Linked DNA regions of Canis lupus familiaris. Each later gene encodes a partner of the first gene's protein in a complex. Links are inferred from orthologs where the notes say so. Each region holds a gene or a part of one and is shown in the gene's direction. Other genes may lie near its edges.

Region 1 (3,618 bases):
AGGGGCACTCAGAGAAGCCACATAACTGGCCCACATCTCACACCTGTTGTTCCCCAAGTGGTATTGGGGTCACCAGCTTCTCCCCCAAGGGTCAGTCCCCTCTGCACATCGAGCAGAAGAGCAAATTCAGGTCCCCTCCTTGCACCATCCCTCAAGTGAAAAATGAACACTCTATGCTCATTGTAACTCAAGTTTGTCAGGGCTTTATGGACACATTGTAAGATATTCTTGTATTAAACAGCTCAGGTGAAACCAGAGCCTGCCTTTTCTGGAACCTGCTCTAGGGAGGGAATGTTTTCAAAATGTCAGTGCCTGAACTCCTTAACTCTTGGCACGGTCCCACAGGTACATCACTCAGGAAGGCCACAAGCTGGAGACGGGGGCCCCGAGGCCCCCAGCCACTGTCACCAATGCAGTGTCCTGGCGGTCCGAGGGCATCAAGTACCGGAAGAATGAGGTGTTCTTGGATGTCATCGAGTCTGTCAACCTCTTGGTAGGCTTCCTTTCCTTCCTTTTCTTTCAGAAAAATTTTGTCTTTTCCATGGTTGAAATAAAAGCACTGGGACTTTTAAAACTAGCAAGGCGCTGAGAGACATTTACTTTCTTTATGACAGCAGATCAGCAGGGTTCAGCTTAGGCCACTCATGGCTGAGCCTCTTTTCTCTCCACTAGCTTGTGTTCCTGTTTAGAATCAATGCAGACACATCGTGGCTGTCACTCTTTAAAGCAGTGTGGAGAGTTAGCAGAGTGTTCCATTTTCAGAAAGACCACCTCATTTAAGATTTATTAGCATCCTTTTGGACCTCATTCTGTAAATTCACAAACATGCACTGTTCTTTCCATGAAGCCGAGAGCGTAGGATGTGGTTCTGCAACTTGTTTTATTATTGTTGTTTGACTGTGTATGTTTGCTTTTTCCTTTTATTTTTTAAATTTTCACTAATAAAATTGACCTTCTTTTCTGTTAATTTCTGCACATGTACAGATTTTTGTACCCCAGTGCCATAATCAGGAGCTACATCCCCTCTAAGCCCTCCCTACTGCCGCCCTCGGCAGTCTGACCCTTCCGCCTCTCCCCCCACTGCTGGCAGCCACCACTCCAGTCCCTGGCACTGCACAGTTTCTCTTCCCCAGTCAGCCATGGTCCTCAGTCAGAATGTCCTCCTCCTGACTATTGTCAGAGGGTCAGTGGCCACCTCACACTACATCACAAGGCTTATGTCATTCACCTCACTTTACGTTGTCATGTAGGCGCTTTGTCCTCTGACATCATCACAAGAACGGTGGGTAACAGTACAATCAGGTGTTTTGAGAGAGAAAGAAACTACATCCACTTACCTTTTATTATAGTATATTGTTCTAATTGTCCCATGTCACAATTAATTCATTGTGAATCTCTTACCGTGCCTGATTTATAAATTAAATTTTATAAATTAAAATTTATTAGAGATCTATATAGGAAAAAACATAGTATATATAGGATTTGGTACTGTCTGCAGTTTCAGGCATCCACTGGGGGTCTTGGAGCATATTTCCTGCAGATAAGGAGGACAACTCTAGAATGTTGTCTTTTTGAGATTGTCCTATGAATGGCATTGTACAGTATGTGGCCTATTGAGTCTGGCTTCTTCCTTTTTTTTTTTTTTTTTTTTTTTTTTAAGATTTTATTTATTTGTTCATGAGAGAGAGAGAGAGAGAGAGGCAGAGACACAGGCAAAGGGAGAAACAGGCTCCCTGCAAGGAGCCCAATGTGGGACTTGATCCCGGATCCCAGGATCACGCCCTGAGCCAAAGGCAGATGCTCAACCACTGAGCCACCCAGGCGTCCCTGGCTTCTTCCACTTAGCATAATGTCTTTGAGATAGATCCAAGTTACTACGTTTACCAGAAGTTTGTTTCTTCTTATATTTATTTTATATCCTGAAGCATACCTTGTTTACCCATTCAACCTATTGAAGGACTTTTGGGTTTTTTTCCAGTGTTGGGCAGTTGTGAATAGAGTTGCTATAAATGTTTCACATCCAGGTTTATGTGTAGACAGAAGTTTTCATTTCTCTAGGGAAAACACCCAGGAGTGGGATTGCTGGGTCATATGGTAAGTGTATGTTTAACTTTATAAGAAACTGCCAAATCGTTTTCCAGAGTGACTGCACCATCTTTGCCTTTTCATCAGCAGTGGATGAACATTCTGGTTGCTCCACATCCTTGATCGGTGTTTTAATTTTCGCCATCTTAATCAGTGTGTCGTGTTAGCTTATCATGGCTTTAATTTGTAATTTCCCTAATGGCTAATGATGTTAAACACCTCTTCATGTGCTTCCTTTGTCATCCACATATCATCTTCGGAGAAGTGTCTTTTCATGTCATTTGAGTATTTTTAAATTGGGTTGTTTGTTTTCTGATTGTTGCATTTTGAAAGTTCTTTATATATTCTGGATTATAAATCTCTCATCTGATATGTGATTTGCAGATGTCTTCTTCTAGTCTGTCACTTGTCTTTTCATTCTTTTGGTGCAGTATCTTTCACAGGACAAAAGTTTTTAACTTTGAGAAAGTCCAGTTACCGATTTTTTGATGTGTGCCTTTGGTGCCATGTCTGAGAACTCATCACCAAATCTAAGGTCATACAGGTTTTCTCCTGAATTTCTTCTAATAGTTTTGTAGTTTTACATTTAGATCCATGATCATTTTGAGTTAAGTTTTACATAAGGTACGAGGTTTATATGCATTTATTTTTGCATGTAGAACAGTGTTTTGCAGTTGTTCCAATATAATTTTTTGAAAAAACCATCCCATTCTCCATTAAATGCACTTGTATTTTTGTCAAAAAGCAATCGACCATATTCATGCAAGTCTATATCTGGCCTCAGATCTGTGTATCTGTTTATTTGCCAATACCACACTGTCTTGATAACTGTAACTTTATTACGTCTCCATCAGATTATGTGATTCTTCCAACATTCTTCTTTTTTGAAATTGTTGTAGCTATTTAGTCCCTTTGTATAAAATTGTAGAATCAACTTGTCTCTATCTACAAAAAGATCCTACTGGGATTTTAATTGTTATTTTATTAAATAACTGTATTAATCAGTATGGAAGAAAACTGTTATCTTTAGTATATTAAGCTTCACAATCCAAAAACGCTGTATGTGTCTTTTTCTCTCTAGGTAGGTCATCTTTGATTTCTGTCATCAACATTTGGTAGTTTTTACTACCTATACATTTTCTTTAGAGCTATACCTAAGTATTTCATTTTTTGAAGGTATCGTAAATTGTATATTTTTAATTTTATTTGGTAGAATTAATTTATTTGATAGTGAAACTATCTGAGTCTAGAAATTTCTTTTTCAGGTTTTTTTTTTTTAAGAGAGGGGAGGGGCAGAAGGAGAGGGAGAGAGAATCTTAAGTAGGCTCCACGCCCAGTGTGGGGCTCAATCTCACAACCTGAGATCATGACCTAGGCCAAAAGCAAGAGTCAGATGCTTAACCAACAGATACACCCAGGCATTCCTTTTTCAGCATATTTTTAACTACAAATTTCAATCCTCTTAACGGTTATACGATTCAGGTTTTTGGTTTCATCTTGGTTGAGTTTTGGTAGTTTATTTTTAAGAAGCTG
Region 2 (4,179 bases), on another chromosome or scaffold:
GCACATCTCTTTTCATCCCTTTTGCCTTCTGCCCCTTCTACAACACCTCCTTTCCTTCTTTTCACTCAGTAATGATTTATCCTTCCTAACTCCAACAGCGGGCTCTATCCATCTTATTCTTGACCTAAAAAAAGAAAAATACCAAGATAGTTCAGCCAACCTCTAAGTCACCGGCAAGCTGAAGGTATAGACAGAGGAGAAAGGAGACTGATGAAGAAAAAGAAAAAGTAGAAGTAAGAAGCTGAGAAAGGGAGAAAGTGAACAGCGATATCATCGAGTGTTGACTATCCAGGATACTTTCTATACATCCTCAAAACAGCCCTGCAAGGCAGATATGGCCATCCTCAGTTTTCTAATAAGGAAACTGAGAGCTAAATGACTCACCTGAGGCCAAGCATCTATTAAGGGTCAGAGGCCACACTGCATCCCAGGCAAATTAGGCCCCCTGTCTTGCAAGGATAGCATATTACTTCAATACTTAAGAAAGAAAAAAATACTATAAAATGGAGACAAGGTGAGGCCTTACCAACAATTGCTTCAAGTGCTACTCAAAAGCAATACCGTCATTTTCAACATGAAAAAATGGAAGATTTTCTCTTATCCCGACGTGCCAACCACTTTACTTGACCGCGAGGAAACACACACGCGCACAGGCGTGCGTGCTCACATGTGCACGAAAAGTCCATGTTGCAATTCACAGCCTCATTTTTACACTTGTGTCCAGGTGACACCTGTCTCTTTTCAGTTTCGACCGGTGCTACCACCGGAACATCTCAAAGAGACTCTTTTCGGCTCATGCGTGCTCCTCCCCACCTTTTCCTCGCATCACTTTCATGTCAGCCCCTCCTTTTCTTTTCTTTCCCATCTCCTTCATTACCTACACATTTCTCTGACTTCAGGCGAGTGCCGCATCTAGCAGGTTCTCGGTGCGTATCTATTTTGGACTCCATACTTAGGTCACGTCAGCCCCCCCCACCCCCCCATCACCACCACGCTTTGTCTAGTCTTCCTCAAGTCAGGGCTCCCTCCCCACATCCAGTTCCCACTCTGAGCCCTTTCCATCGCCCCCGCCCTCCATCAGTCCTCCCTACTGCCTCATAAACTCCAATGGTCGTCCCCTCCACCTCTCATTCCTTTTCCCGCCTTTTTCCCCCCAAGGTTCCGAAGCGCGAGGACCTCATTGTCCTCCTCCCCCATCCTCCAACCTGCCCACCAGACGGCCTTGTTACCATGACGACAGAGCTACTCAAAGCTGAAGTCGAGGACCTGGTTGCCATGGCTTCCGCTTCTCCGCCTCCAGCCCCGCCCGCGCGCCCCGCAGCGCTGGCGCCTGCGCAGTCCGCCCCTCCAAGGGCCTCCGAGCCGGGGCGGGATGGGGCGGGGCTTCAGGCAAGAGGGAGGGAAGGAGGAGAAAGGGTAAGAAAGGGAGTGGAGCTGGCGCGTACGGTGGCCGAAGAGGGTCGCGCCGAGCCGGAGGCTGCAGGATGGTAGGCTGTGCGGAGAGGGAGGGGAGGGGGAACCGAGGGGCGTGGGCTGCACCTGCGGGGGTCCTCGGGGGCCGCCCTCTCTTCCTACGGTCCTCGGAGGCCCCACGTACCCGGGCGGGGGGGCCAGCCGGCCTCGGAAGGAACAGCAGCTGGAAATGGCTTTAGGGAGAAGGGGCGGGGAGGAGGCGCGTTTGTGGGGCGAGAGGGGGCTGACTAGGGGCGGCGGGACCGTCCCGAGCCTGGCTGGGGGAGCGCGCGGGTGGCGGTCCGAGGGGTCCCGACCACTCACTCCCGCAGGGAGGTCCGCCCGAGGAAGAGGGGCGCCGGGGCCTGCCGGCGGCGGGGGGCGGCGGGTCACAAGACCCTCTGTTCGGGTGCAGCCCAGAGCAGAGGCTGTGTGGGAGGGGAGAGTTTCCGGGTCCGAGGAGTGGACGTCCTGCCTCGGTTTATCGCAGGTGGGAAAGCCAAATGGACGCGAGGTCTTGCTCTCCAGGACCCAGGCTTCGGATCCCCAGACCCCGTGCTCTTGGCTCTCCGTCCCCCACCCCATTCTCTTTCCGGAGCCCAGGCCTTCCGTCTTCCTGCTGGCTTCCCGCTTCCCCGCCCCCCAGTCTCAGACACGCAGGGCTCCCAAGCGCCCCTCTGCTGCCCTCCCGTCACGCTAGCAGCGTGTCCCCTTCCCCACCACCCCAAACCCTTGATTTCTGATCTAGCCTCCTAAGCAAGTACTGTGTCAAACACCCACGGATTCCAGCCGTGGTAATGTCCAGGGAGGAGCTAACTCCAGGATGTAGCCTGGACCCCCTGGAACTGAAAGCTGCGGGTGCACGGGGTAGTGACGGCTCCTCACTCCTCCCCACTCTACTCAGCGTGCACTTTGTTTCACAAAGCTTCGGGAACCACCCTGGGTGATGGTGTCCTTAACCAAGGAACTGAAAGGGAAATTGGTCACCTGGTATCTGAAGAGGAGTGGGGGCATAGCAAGAGGCACCCGAGAAGGAAAAAAAGAGAGGACTGTCAGTGGCCAGAGGCCTGGATGGTTGAGGAGAGGAGAGGGTGGAATCTACCCCTGGGCATATGACTAGCACTGGAGGGCAGTGTATTGGGGATATCCACAAGGGTGTATGGCCAGGATGGGGTGGAGAATTGAAGTAGCTTCTGGAGAGACAAAATCCTTCATTTCGGGATGGTGGTGGATAGAAGGACCACAGAAGAAAGCAGACATCTCTTTGACTTCATCTATGAGCTGCTTGTCACTGTGCTGGGCATTTGACTGACCTTTGGAAGGCAGAGGTAGGAAACAAGAGATGAAGGCATGATAATAGTGACACCTATTGTGTTCCAATGCTTACCATGTGACAGGCACAATTGCATATATCAACTCATTTAATCCCTCCAAACAGGTAGGTACTTATATTACATCCATTATACAGACCAGGAAACTGAGGCCCTGAGAGGTAAAATAATTGCCCAAGGCAAATTTCTCAACTCCTGGAGCCAGGAGGATTTGAACCCAAATGACAGACTCCAAAGCTCAGACATGCCCCCAGAAGTAAAGGCACCTGCTGGTGGGGATACTCAGAGTTGACCAGCAAGGGCTGATTTTTGAAGCCAGTGGGAGCTGTGAATGGACAGGGGTTAGCTGCACTTGTAGGACGCATGTATGACTGTGTTTATGGAGTAAACAAAACCAGGGAACAGAATCTCTGACCCTCAGCTCTGCCCCTGCCCCCTAGATGCGATTCATGCTGCTGTTCAGCCGGCAGGGAAAGCTGCGGCTGCAGAAATGGTACCTGGCCACATCAGACAAGGAGCGAAAGAAAATGGTCCGGGAGCTTATGCAGGTTGTTCTGGCTCGCAAGCCCAAGATGTGCAGCTTCCTGGAGTGGAGGGATCTCAAAGTCGTCTATAAGAGGTGATTTGCCGCCTACTTTCACAGCTATCTGGATCCTGCTTGGTGGGGGTCTGGCGGTGGTTCAAATGGCTGAGAAATAAGGTCAGGGAGAACAGGGAGCTAAGGACATCTGGAGGTCAGTGATGGACTCCAGCTTCCTTCAATTTCCAAACTTACCTTGAAGAAATTCTTTGTTTTGCTCCCCGTTTGTTTTGCTCATGCCTGACACCTACTTTACGCACATACCTCTGTCACCAAGGCCCTATCCTGTTCATCGTACGTGTCCCTTGCAGCCTCCCTCATTCGACAGTGATAGATCCTGCACCACCTTTCCCCAAACACACACACACGCACACGCACGCGCACACAGACACACCCTGTCCAGTTCCTTCTCTGAGCAGGTGGATTACTTGGCTCAGGTTTTTGCTGAGTCAAACTGAACAGGTCAGAGGGCAAAGGGAAAGAGCTTGTGTTAGCCTCCGTTTGTGAGAGTCACCAAGAGACGGAGTGAGTTGTTACTATTTGCATACCCTGGGGCCACCCCGCCTATGTCCAATGGACACCAGACCCTGCGCTGGGAATGAGGAATGGGAGGTTTGGGTGCAAGAAGCCTGGATCCTGAAGCAGATGCAGCAGCGCCTCCAGCTACCCCACGTGTGCCCCTGTCCTCAGATATGCCAGCCTCTACTTCTGCTGTGCCATTGAGGGCCAAGACAATGAGCTCATCACGCTGGAGCTGATCCACCGGTATGTGGAGCTCCTGGACAAATACTTCGGCAGTGTAAGTTTCCCCACCCA

Evidence for each region.
Region 2: the proteins of AP1M1 (region 1) and AP1S1 are in contact, whole or in part, in a crystal structure (PDB 1W63), measured with the Mus musculus proteins. The link is inferred for Canis lupus familiaris from reciprocal best matches to the Homo sapiens genes AP1M1 and AP1S1. Residues at the interface, in NP_031482.1 of Mus musculus: Lys12, Glu31, Asn186, Asn188, Val189, Leu190, Glu232, Glu234, Asn270, His272, Arg421; in NP_031483.1 of Mus musculus: Lys26, Lys30, Arg33, Glu34, Gln37, Lys43, Glu51, Trp52, Arg53, Asp54.

The regions. Positions count from the first base shown.
Region 1 is NC_049241.1:46,687,734-46,691,351, reverse strand, and holds part of AP1M1 (AP-1 complex subunit mu-1), read left to right. Parts: intron 1-345; coding exon 346-493; intron 494-2,058; coding exon 2,059-2,094; intron 2,095-3,618. UniProt on the Homo sapiens protein: Subunit of clathrin-associated adaptor protein complex 1 that plays a role in protein sorting in the trans-Golgi network (TGN) and endosomes.
Region 2 is NC_049227.1:8,623,160-8,627,338, reverse strand, and holds the start of AP1S1 (AP-1 complex subunit sigma-1A), read left to right. Parts: upstream 1-1,328; 5' UTR 1,329-1,484; coding exon 1,485-1,487; intron 1,488-3,223; coding exon 3,224-3,402; intron 3,403-4,053; coding exon 4,054-4,162; intron 4,163-4,179. UniProt on the Homo sapiens protein: Subunit of clathrin-associated adaptor protein complex 1 that plays a role in protein sorting in the late-Golgi/trans-Golgi network (TGN) and/or endosomes.